2 linked regions of the Drosophila melanogaster genome follow. The gene in region 1 interacts genetically with each later gene. Each region holds a gene or a part of one and is shown in the gene's direction. Other genes may lie near its edges.

Evidence for each region.
Region 2: of Nost (region 1) and Cip4, changing one enhances a phenotype caused by changing the other (phenotypic enhancement), as found in Drosophila melanogaster (one study listed by BioGRID).

The regions. Positions count from the first base shown.
Region 1 is NC_004354.4:9,026,859-9,034,976, forward strand, and holds the start of Nost (nostrin), read left to right. Parts: upstream 1-3,346; 5' UTR 3,347-4,011; coding exon 4,012-4,038; intron 4,039-8,118.
Region 2 is NT_037436.4:4,359,901-4,368,107, reverse strand, and holds the start of Cip4 (Cdc42-interacting protein 4), read left to right. Parts: upstream 1-4,133; 5' UTR 4,134-4,245; coding exon 4,246-4,360; intron 4,361-4,980; coding exon 4,981-5,081; intron 5,082-8,207. Other genes in the region: CG11342 (uncharacterized protein), read left to right, coding at 694-1,410; CG33514 (uncharacterized protein), read right to left, coding at 1,618-2,248, 2,308-2,612; mRpS6 (mitochondrial ribosomal protein S6), read right to left, coding at 2,898-3,296, 3,363-3,407.

The DNA.
Region 1 (8,118 bases):
GGGGGCCATCGCCAGCATTCCACCCAACCCGCCCCCTGAGCCACTTCCGGTCACGGAGGCGCGCTTCCGGCGTGGGTAATCATGTTTTGGATTGCACACACGAGCAAAAATTAATGTTAACTACACAGCAAACACACCACCTCCCCACACACACACACACACACACCAACATTCACATCGTAGACTGTCGCAGCTGGTGTCGAAGTGTCGCAAATCACGATTTTCGATTCGGGCTTTGCGGGATCTCGGGCATGCTGCCTTTACGCCCCATAAGACGTGCCACCCATTGGGCAACCGGAATCCAAAATCGTAACACCAATCCACACCGACTGCGGCAACTAATGAATTCTTCAGCTGCGGTCAAAATATCAGGCGATTGTTTATGTCAACAAAAAGGAAATTATATTGTAACTAACTTTCAAAATTTTTAAAAAGATCTATACGAAACTACAAACCTTAATGCTCATTTTACTTTGAACATATTTATTGTAGCTTGTATATCTTGTTTAATTTCTTCATTCATGTTAAAAAGTTTACTTTTTATTTTTTTTTTTTTTATTGAAAATTGTAATATTCTTTTAAATACCCGCCCCAATGGCGATCGCAGCTGGAAATCCATATGCAGTAGAGCAGAATTGAGTAAGGAATATTTAGCAATTGACAATCTAGAGATTTTATAGCAAATGAGCCGAGCATGAAGGCCGATGAAGCGTTTGCTATCCCCCCTAAACCATTCACTATGAACCGAAACTTAAAGAAATAAAAAAAAAAACAAAACTCTGAAAACCCGATAATCAATAAGAAATTCAAAGTAAAACCAAAACGATTTGGTTAATTTTCGCAATTTGCTATATAGAAACAAAAAAAAAGCTTCAAAGTGAAATTGTAGTTGAAGGATTTAAGCGGGAAGGCGGAATAAGTTAAGTGTCACCGAGGAGAGTGCTATCTATCGATCTAGACGGACTAAATGCTAAATGGTGAAAGAAATTGATGATGATGAATTAGTAGAAAGTTAATACTGACGAGGGCTAAAATGCAGAAAATGGCTAGCCAAGTGTCACAGCTGTTCGGAGAACAACCGGGTCCAAGCCAAAACTATGGATATCCAGAATATCCACTAAAAAACACAAGGATACACCACACACACACATAGACACAGAGAAACAGGATAACACTAAATGGAAACACTTACTGCATGATGTGTACATAGGAACAACATAGATGCTATATATATATGCGAGTATATATAAAAACATATATATATATATAGACATACATATATAGTATATATTTTTTTCGAATTGTTTAAGTGCAACTTTTGAACAAAATATGGAAAAATGAAACGCAAGTCTTATGAAATCCTAGCAAGTAAGGCAAACCAAAATTGTAAAGGTCAAGATACAGAAATGGATGGAGGAACGATATACCTAAAAACAATGCCTAACTGTACGATAGTAAGCATACTATATACACATATATATATACATATATTGATAAAGTAATAAAGCGGCATAAATGTGTAAAAGTAATCTATTTATTTACACCGACAACCCTGTAAATACACAAATTCTGTGCAATTTTCTATCGACTCCCGCAAAACCCCGCGTTTTAATTCAATCCTCGCCCAAATCGAAACTTTGAACAGACAACGACTTTGGATTCTCCCTTCCACCTGGATATACACTATATATACATACATATATATATACATACATACATTTAATTATTAACTTACGCAAGTCTGAAAGTATTTCTATCGAAGAGTTCTAAACTGCTTAACTGTAAAGTGTACATACATATACCGAATTACAAACACTCACAGATCCTATAAACTATATTTATAGATGTAAGAAAAAGCACACTATTGATAACCATCCCCATCACTGTATGTATATGCCTATTTAATATATATATATATATATATATATATATCTACTTTTTTTGAATTAGTCACTAAGCATAGACAACATGAATTACTAAGTACGATATGCACTGCAAGCACTGAGGAATTTGATTCAATTTTACTTAAGACAAACGAAAAGAGAAATTGAAATAGCATTTAGCAAACCTAACGGAAAATCAAAAAAAAAAAAACAGAATTAAATAAGAGAATCTCCAATTTCTGGGATAATAATTACAAATTTAATATTAATTTTTCGAGCTACATCGGATGAGAAATACCGACGAAAAAAAAAAACTGTATTCGCTTGTGGCAATTGTGTGGGAAAGTCGAGAACGTTTAGCATCTGGATTGGCTATGCAGCATTCGTATGTTATATACTTAGAAACCCGAAAACCACAGATACACACACACACCCACGAATATTAAATAGATGTACAATAGTTATATAGACTCATTCGCATCGATCCTTTAAGCCATAGTCTATCCTGTTAAGCTCTCAAACAAAATTGTAATTTTCGGAACCGCAAAAAACGAACCCCAAACGCTCAGCTACGAGTTTCTGTTTAAAATCCAAGTGCAACTTTCAAAGAATTGTAAAAAAAAAAAAAATATCAATAACACTTTACGCTAGCGAATCCCAACAATATTTGGACAAACGATCGAAATCATCCACAAAATTGCTTATAATATGAATTTTCTGACTCTCTCCTAAGGGAAAATAAAAATTTTTTTTGGTATTTCAAACTCAACAACATTGCGTTTTTCTTTTATGGCATAGTTTTGGGCTTTCTCACCTACAAGTAAAGTCAAATTCAGATGAGTCACGGCTTGTAAGGTAACTAAATAAGTTATTAGAATATTGTAATCACAGCATTTAGACGGAAATCGAAATAAGTCATAAGGGTAAGTTCGAAAGATGCAAATTTATGCATCTGCATTCCATAACTTTGAAGTCATCGTAAGCCAAGCTTAAACGAGCTTTAAAACGTACACAAAGCTTGTCCAATTGGCTGCAACTTTTTTTTAACAATAAATAAATTTTTAAAAATTAAATCTTTTTATCTAAAATTGTCTGAATGTCAGCTGACTTCAATCAGTTGAATATATGTTCTTTATGCATTTTCATTTCATATTTTTCTTTATCATATTCTATTCACCGAGTGGAAGATTTCCCTGCAGGTTTGTTGTTTTTTTTTTTAGCCACATAAGTCAGTAAATCAGCCCACTGTACCCACTGTGCCGCTCCACAAAGAGCGTTCAGCGTTGAGCGGAGAGCGTTTAGAAAGCGCCAGCGACCGGCGATTGCAATTGCCACCGCTCACGGAGAGCGGCGAGCGGCGTTTGCGATTGCGATTGCCATTGGGATTGGGATTTGTTGTAGCGTGGATCGCGGAGTCGGAGTCAAAAGCTAAAAGCCAGATTCAGTTGGCGGCGCAGACTCGACTCGTTTAGTTCGCCGTTTCGTAGAAGAGCGACGAGAGCGCATGCGGCTTTTCCAGCGCGGTTTTTCCACCAAAACTTCGGCGACCTGTGTACTATTATTTATATTTTTATTACATTTTTTTTTATTGTTTTTTCTTTCTACCTGCGAACGCTTTGCTCGCCTTGAACTGGAGTGCTTCGTTTTTGAGTAGTGCATCTCTGCCTTTTGCTGGCGAGTGCTACAATTGTCGCACGTAATCGTGCTGGCAGTTACGCCTCAGAAAGCAGCCAAAAAAAAAAGAAAAAAAAACGCAGATACAAGATACAAAAGTATCTCGAACACATGCGTTACGCTCAGCTGACTCGTCGTGTGTGTGAGTGTATCGTAGTGTCGTTGTGTGTGTGTGCTAACAAATTGGTTAGATAAATTAAACAAAAACTGTGAAATTCGCGAATCAAAAAAAAAAAAAAAACAAAAGTAAAATAAAAGTTACACAAACGAAATACGCGAAGGAAAAGCGACGAGCTGAAACTGAAAGCAAACAATCAGCCGGGCTGACCAGTAGTAAATGCTTTAAACTTCAATTATAAAATTTAAATTGAAAAAAATAAAAAAAACACATATAGTTCACAATACCGCATCATAATATCCTACCCGCATCCTAACCCCCGCCGCTGGCCAAAATATGTCACAATTCCGCGATAATTCATGGGTGAGTTGCGATCGAGTTCAGTTCGGTTTGGCTTGAGATTTGGCACTAATTACCGACTAACTACTGCACACGTATCCACAGTGATACTCGCACTCTATCCTGCACTCAAAACTAATCCAAATTGCACAATTATCCAACACAATTTCTCTCCCTATCCTCATTTGTCCATTGCCCAACGCCCCCTCTCGACATCTTCTTAATTGGTCCAAATCGTTAATTAACCTGTGTGGCCATCTGTAAACCGATTGGCCAATTGGCACCATGCATCTCTCGGCCTGACCCGATTTTTTTAAATTTCGCAGCTCGCCAAGTGCCGATCCATCGATTGGTGGAATTGCACTGGCAATCAAAGTTGATAATTAGGGGAATTTTGACGATTTCTTCAATCATTTTGATGTTTAGTATTTGAGATACATTCACTAGTTCTTTGATGGCTTATTACCTTAAACTGCTTTTGAACTTTAAGAAAGTTACAAATATTCGTTTTAACTTACTATAACTTTATAAGTTTAATGAACAGAAAATATAGAACTTTCCACATTTATAGACAAGCAATTATAATATCATTTTCGATATAAAAAACATTATTATTAGGGGTGTTTTTTTTCGAGTGCATTTGCATTTGTGCCGACTGGCAATTGACTTGGAACTGAGAATTTTGACAGCTTCCGAAGCTTCGCATGCAGCGAATTACCTTGGCTTTATCAGCGGAATAACGGTGTCGAGGTCACTCGAAATAACCTAATCAAATTGGTTGGTTTTTTTAAATTTTAATTTTTTATTTTTTTTTAATAGGAGTGCGTCGTTCGCTTTGGCGAACGAAAGTCGAACAGTTTTTGAATAAATTAGTGCGATGCAAAACACGCAGGTTAAGCGGGTCAAACGGCAATGTTGATAGGCATGGGATGAAATTTATAGATCGACTTATTCGAAGTGCTGTGCAACCCGTTTATCTCGAACGATTTATCTGCGAAATATCTGGCCAAGATGGTAAAAAAAAAAAACAAAAAAAACTACTGCGGCAAGTGGTATTGCAAGATATGCAAAATTGTGGTTAAGTAAAGTAGTAAATTATCAATACTTTGTATTTAGAGATATGAATTCACTACTTAAGATACTTTTTTTTCGATTTAGTTTCTCTATATGTTTGCTGACTTTCGAATTAAGCCGCAATTGCTTTGCATTTTTTTTATCTCTACTTGTGTCAAAGAGAAAAACACACACACCTACATTTACCGAGAAATTTCCCAACTTAATTTCTACATGCTATCTAGATCAAACATCATTTCCACACCTCGAGCGCCCTTTTTCTACAGCAATTGCATGATTTGAAGGTCGACGGAGCTTTCTTTTGTTTCTTTTGGAGTTAAAAAAAAAAAAAAACCGGTGAAACAAACAGTTAGGATTGCACTCAGCGAAAAGAGTTATCTAAATCCATAACTTGTTGATAAGAAGATAGTGGTTGTATTGTAGTAAAAAATAATCATATAAAAACTTGGTACATTTAGGCATGGTGAACTTTTGCACCACAGCAATTTCGCGTAGAATCGCATTCTTTTTTTTTAGAAGCCTTTGTTTCGCTTCGCTGTATTTTTGTTGTTTATGAATGTGAATGCGTTATCGTCGTATCTGCGTAACTGTAATCGCATTATGATCCATTAAAATGCGCCAGCTTTTTTGGCAGTTTTTTTTTTTGTGATAAGGTCTGCGGACACCCACCACCTAAGGCGCTCCCTCGTCTGGCAGCAAAAAAATGAAAATAAAAAATATCATAAAACCAATCAAAATCCAGTAAAATAAGAGAAAAACCAGTTGGCCTGGCCCAAGTCGATTGCGCAAATGTCGTGACTGACGTCGCGCCAACGATTATCATCTTCTTCTGGCTAAGATTGAGATTCGGACTGGGATTGGGATTGGGATTTGGGACTTGGGATGCTGCACCTGCACATCCAAAGTCTGGCGGCTGAAGTCTGCTTCCTGGTGGCAGCTTCAAGTTCAATTACGGCAGATTGTCGTGAAGGCATTGGCCATGGATTCACAACCATATCGATATACACAACCACAACCATATTCACATCCACATCCACATCCACATGTCCATGTTGGTCATCAGCAACTTTCACTCACCGGCTAAATGACGATGACGATGTGTGCCTCCTGCACATTTTGTCATCGTTTTTCATGTGGGAAAATCTCTCGCCTCTGCAAAAGATCCAAAGAAAAAAAGACCTAAACGATGGGGAAGTCGTGTGGAGGCTCGCTTTTATTTTTCCTTCTTTTTTATTCATGGAAGCTGCGCTTTTGGGCAGACATTGCAAAATAATTTCCACAACAAGTTGGGAAGGCCGTCGACGACAATGAACTTTTAATTACCCCAAAGACTCGTTTCGCAAAAAAAATAAAAACACATGGAGAAAAGTAAAGGGGGAGCACAAACCTCATTCAAATGAGGTTTGCGGAAGAAAAAGAAAAGAAATTTTCAAAGGAGGAAAAGTTACTTAGCTCTCCGTGATCATATGCAATTTAATGCCTGCCCAATTTGCTGCGGAACAATCGGGTCTTTGTTTTTTTATGAGCAAAACCCTCCATTTCCCCAGCAGCAGATTAGATTTCAATTGAAGATTTGCAGATTGGCTTCCCTCGTTGATTTTCGTGGGATTGCCAGCCGAAAACTGGCTAGCCAAATTATGAATAAGTGTGCTGTAAATACGATTTCTGGCTAATACCAAAGCGGATTACAGTGCAATGATTCGATTTTTGCCGGCAATTGCAAATTTTTGTTGTACTTTCTGTGCCTTTTATGCCTTCGGGCCAATTTTTCCAACCAACATTTTACATATGCATAGGCCGGTAAATAGTAAAACCACAAAAAAAAACGCATTTAATATAAAATGTTGGAAAAAGTGGTCAAAAAAATTTGACAATTTTGAATGGCAATCAATTGGAAATTAAATCGAAATCGAAAAATCATCAAAACTACTTTTTCCAAAATTTCGCTATTTACTAAAGGAAGTTTTATCACAACTTGACTAAAAATGCTCATATAGATAAAAGAATAAGTTTTTTAATTAGCTTTTTACCACCGCCAACGATTCCTATCACTTTTTGACTGATTTCGGTAAAATAATTTTTGAATCAATTTTTGCCTTTTTTTGTAAGGGGTAACATCATCAAAATTTGCAAAAAATGACACAAAAATGTAATTTCCATTTTTGAACACAGTTTGATTGGAAATTTAATTACGAGCTCAACGAGGTATGACATTCCATATTCAGACAATTGTTTTTAAAGTTGTGGCCAAAAAACGAATAATTTTATGGCAAAAAATGTACATTTCGCCTAATGCCAAAATACTGAAGATATATTGTAACCGAAAACCAGGAAAACTCCCTTAAATTATCGCTTGAATGATTATTCAATCACACGAAAATATTTGTACACGCATCTTTAACGAAGCAATATAAAATTACCAACTATCTGTGAAGTATAATTAGCTAGAATTAAACGAAAGAAAGTTCAAAGTACCGTGCAAAGATTTCTTTTAATGTTTATTCGGCAGCCATAAAAGCCAAAAAAAAAAAAAAAGAAAAAACTAAGCTTTTGCTGGCTTATGTAAGTGAGATTTAGTTGGCAAGAGTTAAACAAATTTACGAAGTACCTTGTGCACATGAAAAGATACGTAGATACATATTTTGATTGTTACCGCTGACCAAACGCAGAAATTGCCGGCGAAAAAAGGAAATTTTGCGACAATTAAACAGTGAAAGTCGCTTAAAATGGATCGTTGTGGCATTAGTTATTACCCCCGACTTGTTATTATTGCTACCATATTTTTCTGTTTTTTTTTCTGTTTTTTTTTTCTGCTGCTAAGTTGGTGATATGACAGATTTAATAGAAAAAAGTTGAGAAATATGGCCAGAAAGATGGATGACAGAGATGATGATAAACTCGGGCGCGCAAACTGTGTTCAAAATAATCATCACTTTTCGCTCTCCATTCGCCTTTGTTTGCCACTCTGAATTTTTAATTATATTTGTACAGATTTTACTGCTGCTTTTTCCACACAAAACGAGGAGTATA
Region 2 (8,207 bases), on another chromosome or scaffold:
TCAAATCGGTAGAATGATTCATTTTCCTTTTGGCCGCCCCTGAACGCTTCGATTTGGTGGGCTTACCAACAGAGCGTTGCAATTTTGCCTAGTTCCCTTAGTGGGTCAAATTCAGTTTCCCGAGCGCCGCCGATGAAGCATCCAGGGTCCCAAGTCGAGTGTTTGTCGTTGAATATTGTTGATCATTGTGTTGAATTGATGATATCTTAGCCACAAACATGCCAAATGCGAAAATACCGAACGAATTCGAAGACGAAACATTGTGTATATTTTGTTGTTGTATTGTACATTTCATTGACGATATTTTGTACATTTAGTTATAGTTTGAAACTAATTTACACACCAAAGAGCAAGTGTTAACGATTTTTAAGTGTAAGTGTTAGAGCCGTATAAGCAGATAGCAAGAGGCGTTTCGACAAATATAAACAAAGAACGCAGTAAATAAACGCAAAAATGATGAAAATGCATGTGAGTTTTATTTGGAGATGCAGTTTGAATTTGGCGGTTTTCTTAAACTGCACCTTTTAACACTGGCCTTGTGAAAATTGTAGATGTTAACTCACTTAACAGCGCTGCTAGAGATGGCATGTTAACTTTGTTGTGCATTTAAATATGATATATCGTCTCAACGACCATCTCTAGCAGCATGTTTCTGTGAAATCAAAACAAATAAAAACACGAATCTTATAAAATATGGATATTAGAAACAACGATCCCGGCGCGGTTCAATATGGCAACTTCTTCAACTACTATCAGTTCAGTTCCGCCGCAGAACGCGTGAAACTCTTACCAGACGCGGACATATGGCTTCCTGCGTTGGAGGATGGAGAAACCCAAAAGGATAAACCCTATTTCATCCTGGATGTGGGCTGCAATTGCGGCGTACTCACTCAACTCATGCATAAATATCTGGAGGAACGTCTTCATAGATCTGTGAAAGTTCTAGGTGTGGATATAGACCCTCGGCTGATTCAACGTGCCAGCGAGGAGAATGAATCCCCGAAAGATGTGAGCTACGCCTGCGTGGATGTCCTCGATGATGAAGCCTTTGAATCCGTTAAAACCTATATGGAGGTGAATAATCTCGAGAAATTTGATGCCATTTGCTGCTACTCCATTACCATGTGGATTCACTTGAATCACCATGATCAAGGCCTGCGATTCTTTCTGCAAAAGCTCTCCAATCTGGCAGAGCTCCTGGTGGTGGAACCACAGCCCTGGAAATGCTATCAGAAAGCAGAGAGACGCCTGAAAAAAGCCGGAGAGATATTCCCTCTTTTCCTGGAACTTAAGTGGCGATCTGATGTGGATCTTCAGATACAAAAGTACCTGGAAGAGTCTTTGGACCGAAGAAAGATATTCAAATCCGCACCAACTAAATGGCAGCGAAAGATCTGCTTCTACAGATGATAATAAAAGCTAAAAGGACAATGTTTATATAGGAGAAACCTAAAACTGCTGCGAAGTATCGTAGCATATTCATGTATTCCTATATTATCATTCCTACTATTGGATTTTACAATTCAACTGATGCGAATGTGTTTTCTAGCCACTAAATTGGACAACTTTTTCAACTGGCTGATAAGAAAATAAAATCTTTAAAGTTACAAACTGAAACTAGTCCACGTTGAGCTTTCTAAAGGAACCTTCTACTCCGAAAAGCCCCTCAAAATCGATTGGTTTTCCGGGACGCAGGCTCTCGTCGGTGCCGAAGTTCACATTTTCCTGGAAGAAATCGGCGTACTCGTCCAACTTCTTCTCCATGGCGGCCACGATGTCCTGCGTGGTGCCATTCTCGCCGCCGTATTCCTCGGGCAGATATTTCAGTGGAATCTGCTCCGTCAAGAGCCCCATTTTGTTGCCGTGCACAAATAGGCGAGACTGCATTTTCTTGGACATCATTGGCTTGAACATGTTGAACAGCTGCTCGAATCCGGTGATGGTGTTGATGAAATGCTGTGCCTTCAGACGCAGTGGAAGTGCCTCCTCCGAGAAGACAGTGAATTTCTTGGCCATCGACGGCGTCATCTGGAACAAGTGTGCGGCGGTGGCACCCTTCATGTCCATAATGAAAACTACTCCATTGACATTGGCGTAGTCGTCCTCCAAAATGGCAATCTCCTGCATTGCCTGGGCCACTTGCATGCACTCCAGCATTGTGTACTTCTCCACTGGCACCAATCCCATGCGCCAGATCCCGATGCGAGGTCCATTTTCATTCAGCGGAGTGGGCAGGTAGATGATGGCACTGAATTGACAGAATTGCATTGATAAATTAAATTAGTTAGCTGGCGTCAAAATCCTTACCCCGTTTGATGAATCTCCCGGAACTTGCTATCCGTGGTGTTGGTAACTCGGAAATAGTCCGGATACTTGGTCTTCAGCGTGTAGTACTTATCTAACTTGGACTTGGCCCGCTCCAAACTGTACTTGCAGCCGCGCAAGAAAGCCACCAGAAACTGATCATCCATTCGGGGATTTAGATGCGGCTGCTGCTCGATCCATGTCTTAAACGCCTGCAGATCGGCTTCGAGACGTTCGGGATCCTCCTTGAGCTGCTCCTTGGCAACTTTTTGCAGCTCTGGCGTAAGTGGACGGATTTGCGGTGACATTTCTAGGTCGTTTGCGGTCAGGAGGAAGTACTAGTGAACTGCTCGACGATTCTTGAGGCACTACCTGGACAATTTACGTTCTATTGATGGTCGATTATACGGAGCTTTATCAATTAATTGATAAGCGTCCGATTGGGCGCCATAAACCAAACAAAGACAAACATTGTGAAAAGTACTAAGATAACAGGCGCATTTCATAAGGAATGCTTCAGTTTGAATTAGCCAAAGATCGAGGAACCCACAACCGGTTTTAGCATACATAATTAACGCGTTTTATTTGGTGTTTTATTTTTGGAAGGGATAGTAGTCCAGGCCGGAGTTGTAGTTGAACTTCTTCTTTTGCTTCTTCTGGGCGGCCGCAATGATCTCCTGCACATCCTTGCGATACGCGGGTGGCAGCATCTCCTCGTGCAGCGTGCAGGGCTTCTGCTCGGGCTCCTCCACCTTGAAGATGTAGCGCCGTATGATGTCGATGTCGCGGCCAAACTCCTCCTTCAAGTCTGCGATCTTAGTGGGCGCCGTATCAAAGGCGATGGTGAAGTGGGTGCCTTCCCGGTGAACCACCCCGTGTTCGCTGACTTTGTGGGGCAGGGCGCGGGATCCCAGGTTCTCCAGCTTCCGGATAATGCCGCCCTTGTCCAGGATGGACTCGGCCGTTCGCCTAATCACGGAAATCAGTTCGGGCTGCGGGCGGTGTACAATTCTTATTTACTTTTATGTAACTGCCGGTGGATTTCATGTGCTACTCACGCGAGGCAATTGGCGGAGCACCAGTGCTAGTTCGTAAGAAGGCATTGTGACCGGTGAATTGTATGAGCTGGTAAGGAATTTAATTTCTTATATTAACGTTGTTTCTCTCAAGTTTTAATTCATTAAAAAGTTAGTAAATCTAATGTAATTGTTGACCCACCAGCTGATAGTGTTAACAGCTGATGCAAGGAAAGTACTAAAAATGATCTAGCGCCTGGCGCACATGCTTACACCTTACAGTGTGCCAAAATCTATTGCTCCAGTGAATTTAATGTTCAAATTAATATATTATATACAACAATAAGCGATGCTCTTGTTACTTTAAAAGCAATAAACAATAATAAGAAGTTTCTTCCAAGCTCAATAATAGCTTTCTTCATCTGTTTCAACGTTATGTTATTCCATAAAATTATTAGTTTTCAAGGCCACAATAATATATTTAAAAAGTCTACAATTAACGTTAAATTATAAAAAAAAATGGGGGCACGTATTAACGAAAGTTTCATATATTTTATATAATAATAATTAAACTTTACAGTTGCTCTCAATATGGGTTCATATCCCCGCTAGATGTTAAAGAGTTAGAAATTAGGTCGCCATCGGTCTCTGGTCACACTGCAAACGCAGAGGTGTGCCTATTCAAACACATTGCGGTCACACTGTGTATTGATGCCGAAGTGAAAAAACGAGCGGAAAGTTGCGAGCGGATAAAATTGTTTTTTCGCACGCCAAAAAGGAGAAACAAATGCTTGCGTTGTGTGAGTGCGGGTGTTTTAACTGTGTGCTTGTGTGTGTGTGCAAATGTCGCCCGAATTATGACGCATGCGAAAGTGCAGGCGCTAAATAAAACCCAAAATCGAAAGAAGTTGCAACTGCAAAGCAAATGCTAAAAAAAAAGTTAGCACAAATAACAAAAAAAAAAACGGTGGCAGATCTAGAAGCAGAGTGCGTGCATTCGGCAATTGCGTTTACTTGTGTGCGTGTGTGTGCGAAATTATGTAAATACAACAATAGTAGAATTCCAATTGTCCTCTCTTTCTGCTTTTCTCAATTATGAAATGCAGTTGCATCGCTCTCTATCTCTATCGCTCCCTCTCTCTCCTCACTCTCTTTGCGCATCGAAATGCCAGTGCATAGAATTTTCTTATTTTGCACTTATCACTAAACAACTCCCAAAAAAAGTGTTTAAATTCTCATTATCTATAATTTCCTTCAACTTCATTTTTCTACCTGCCGCTGCAACTGACACGTCTGCATTGCCACTCTTTTTTGTTTTTACATGCTTTCTTACCTGCCCAACCACCGAAAAAAAAAAAAACAAAAATGAAATATATCTGACTCGAATTGCTCTCTTTCATAGAAAATTAAACATCGCGCCGCGCAACGCTGAAAAAAATATAGAAAAACAAACGGAAAATGAAAACGAAAAAGCAGCCATAAAATTAATTAACCTTTGCGGGAAAATATAAAACAAAAACGAATAAAAGTTCTCATCTTTTGCTCTTCTCCCTCGCTTTCTACCTTTCTCCCTCTCTCCTCATCGTCTGTGGATTACATTATCTTCTGTGGATTATTATTATTAAAACAACAACAACAACGACGGCAACAACAAATACAGTGGCAAGCGGATCGAGCAGAAGCAGCAGCAACAACAAACTGGCCGAATCGGAAAACTCAGCGCAAAACTCCAACAACATGAGTTGGGGCACCGAGCTATGGGTGAGTTTTTCCTGGATTTAGAGGGGCTATATCTTCAGATAAGAAGTCGTATTTCATTGATAAAACAGGGGGTTCCTATAAGCAACAAATACATAGTTCTGCTTGTTTGAGGAGTATGAATGTATACCTATAGCTAAAAATCAAAACAAATTCGTAGTTTAGCTTGATCAGAATCATTAAGGTGTCCATTACCAGCTCAAAGAAGCTGGGGTCGGAAAAATCGAATTTTTGAAATTTGAAAGCTGGAATCGTTTGCCCATTTTTTGCCCATGTTTGCCCACCAATTAGTTTTTTTTGCCCACGTCCAGTTTTTGAGATATGAATTTTCGAAAAAGTTCGAAAATTTTCGAAAATCAAAAATTTCGCTTTTTTCAAATTTTTTTTTTTTAAATCGCAATAACATCGTTTGCCCACGTTTGCCCACCCTTTAGAATTTTGAAAAAATTTATACTTTAGAAAATATAAGGCTTTTAAGTTTACCTCGGTCTAATCAGAGAGTAAATCGTTTGCCCATCTCTTAAAACCAAATATTATCAACAAAAAACGTTTGCCCAACCATTATTATTAGTTTTTATCGTTTGCCCACCCTTTAAAAAACCTTTAACAAAAATTTTTTTTCGATTGCCCACACTTGAAATACAACTAATTTCGTTAGCCCACCTCTTCAAAATAAAACTTTTCAATAAAAAACGTTTTCCCACCATTTAAAAATAAATAATTTCGATTGCCCACCTTTTAAAACTAAATAATTTCGTTTGCCCATCCTTTAAAATTCATTTTTAACGTTTGCCCACCCTTTAAAATTTGTTTTTTTCGTTTGCCCACCTCTTAAAAATGGTTTTTTCGATTTTTCACCTATTAAAACTAAATTTGTACATATGTACATATGTAATAATTGTAAGATGTGGCGCCAAAAGCACAGTTACTTACAAAAGAACAGTTATTTACATATTTACATACATTTTCAATATATCCATAGTGTTAATCATTCATGAATTGTAACATCAATTTTTCTTAATCATTGTTTCATTTCATGGAAAATATTTTATATTGCAATATAATATATATGCAAAAAAATGTATGTATGTTTATCAACACTCTCCAAGCTCAAGAAAATTCTGGAATAAAATATTTTCCATGAAATGAAACAATGATTAAGAAAAATTGATGTTACAATTCATGAATGATTAACACTATGGATATATTGAAAATGTATGTAAATATGTAAATAACTGTTCTTTTGTAAGTAACTGTGCTTTTGGCGCCACATCTTACAATTATTACATATGTACATATGTACAAATTTAGTTTTAATAGGTGAAAAATCGAAAAAACCATTTTTAAGAGGTGGGCAAACGAAAAAAACAAATTTTAAAGGGTGGGCAAACGTTAAAAATGAATTTTAAAGGATGGGCAAACGAAATTATTTAGTTTTAAAAGGTGGGCAATCGAAATTATTTATTTTTAAATGGTGGGAAAACGTTTTTTATTGAAAAGTTTTATTTTGAAGAGGTGGGCTAACGAAATTAGTTGTATTTCAAGTGTGGGCAATCGAAAAAAAATTTTTGTTAAAGGTTTTTTAAAGGGTGGGCAAACGATAAAAACTAATAATAATGGTTGGGCAAACGTTTTTTGTTGATAATATTTGGTTTTAAGAGATGGGCAAACGATTTACTCTCTGATTAGACCGAGGTAAACTTAAAAGCCTTATATTTTCTAAAGTATAAATTTTTTCAAAATTCTAAAGGGTGGGCAAACGTGGGCAAACGATGTTATTGCGATTTAAAAAAAAAAAATTTGAAAAAAGCGAAATTTTTGATTTTCGAAAATTTTCGAACTTTTTCGAAAATTCATATCTCAAAAACTGGACGTGGGCAAAAAAAACTAATTGGTGGGCAAACATGGGCAAAAAATGGGCAAACGATTCCAGCTTTCAAATTTCAAAAATTCGATTTTTCCGACCCCAGCTTCTTTGAGCTTCCATTACCTCCTATATTCTTGGATATTAAAGAGGCGCTTATCTTCAGATAGGCTATATATATTGAAAGGCTCCAAACCTAAAATATAGATAGAAACGACAACATTGGTCTTATTAAGAAATTGTAAGCACTCATCAAAAATTACAAATTGCAAGCCACACAATTTTAATTAATTAAACATTTTTGTTTTGCCAAGCACTTGGTAAATGCAATTAAACTTCTCAAATATTTTACAACTACCAGAAAATAAGCTCGAAATTCCGGTTTTTTAAAACCAACTGACACATTGTTCCTGTCAGAAAACCCTACATTTTCTAATTGGATACCCAATCTCAGTGAACTTAAGCGTGTCAATTAATTATTATTTCAATGTCATCGGTTTACCCATAGGAAATCCACTCAAATGCTCGAGCAGTGAGAATTTAACAAATTGCTTCCCATAAGCCAAAGTGCAGGCAAATGTTTTAAGAACGCACGCTTAAAGCGTCCGTCTCTCTCAGCCGCTGCATTGCCGTCTCTTTCCGTCTGCCGACCAAGTTGGAACTCGAAACTTTATAAAAAAAAAAACTGGTTTTGCGGGTTTTATGTAAATTACTGCCATATGAGCACGGCCAGCAGCAGCAGCGTGCGCCTCAATTCAATATGTGCTGCACACACATATATATATGTATATTTATGTATGTATATTTTTCGGATATATCTGCTTTCTTGTTGTTTTTATTTTCCTCATAGTTTGCGTTCTGTTTCGCCAAAGACCCCACATTCCACTTCGATCCATCGGATTCCCAGTGCCGGGTCTCCACATTATTATTATTATTATTATTTATTTTTTTTTTTGTTTTTTCCGCTCTGTCTATGGGCATTCTCCGGCTCACAGCTGTTTTTTTTCTGACGCTCTTTTCATGTTTCGTTTGGGCCGAGGGCGTTGACACGCCCAGCTAAAGCTTACCTGTCTATACAGGGATTTAAAAGATACAAAAAACCATTTTAGCTTGCCTCAGCTGCCTCCTTTTTTCCGCCGTTTTAGCCCGATTTAGTTTTTGCTGATTTCAATTCAATTCGGATACTCGAATATCGATGGGCTTCACATGCCCTCCGCCTTTCGGGGGTAGTTTTCCTTCATCAGACAGCAGCAGCCAGCCGGCAC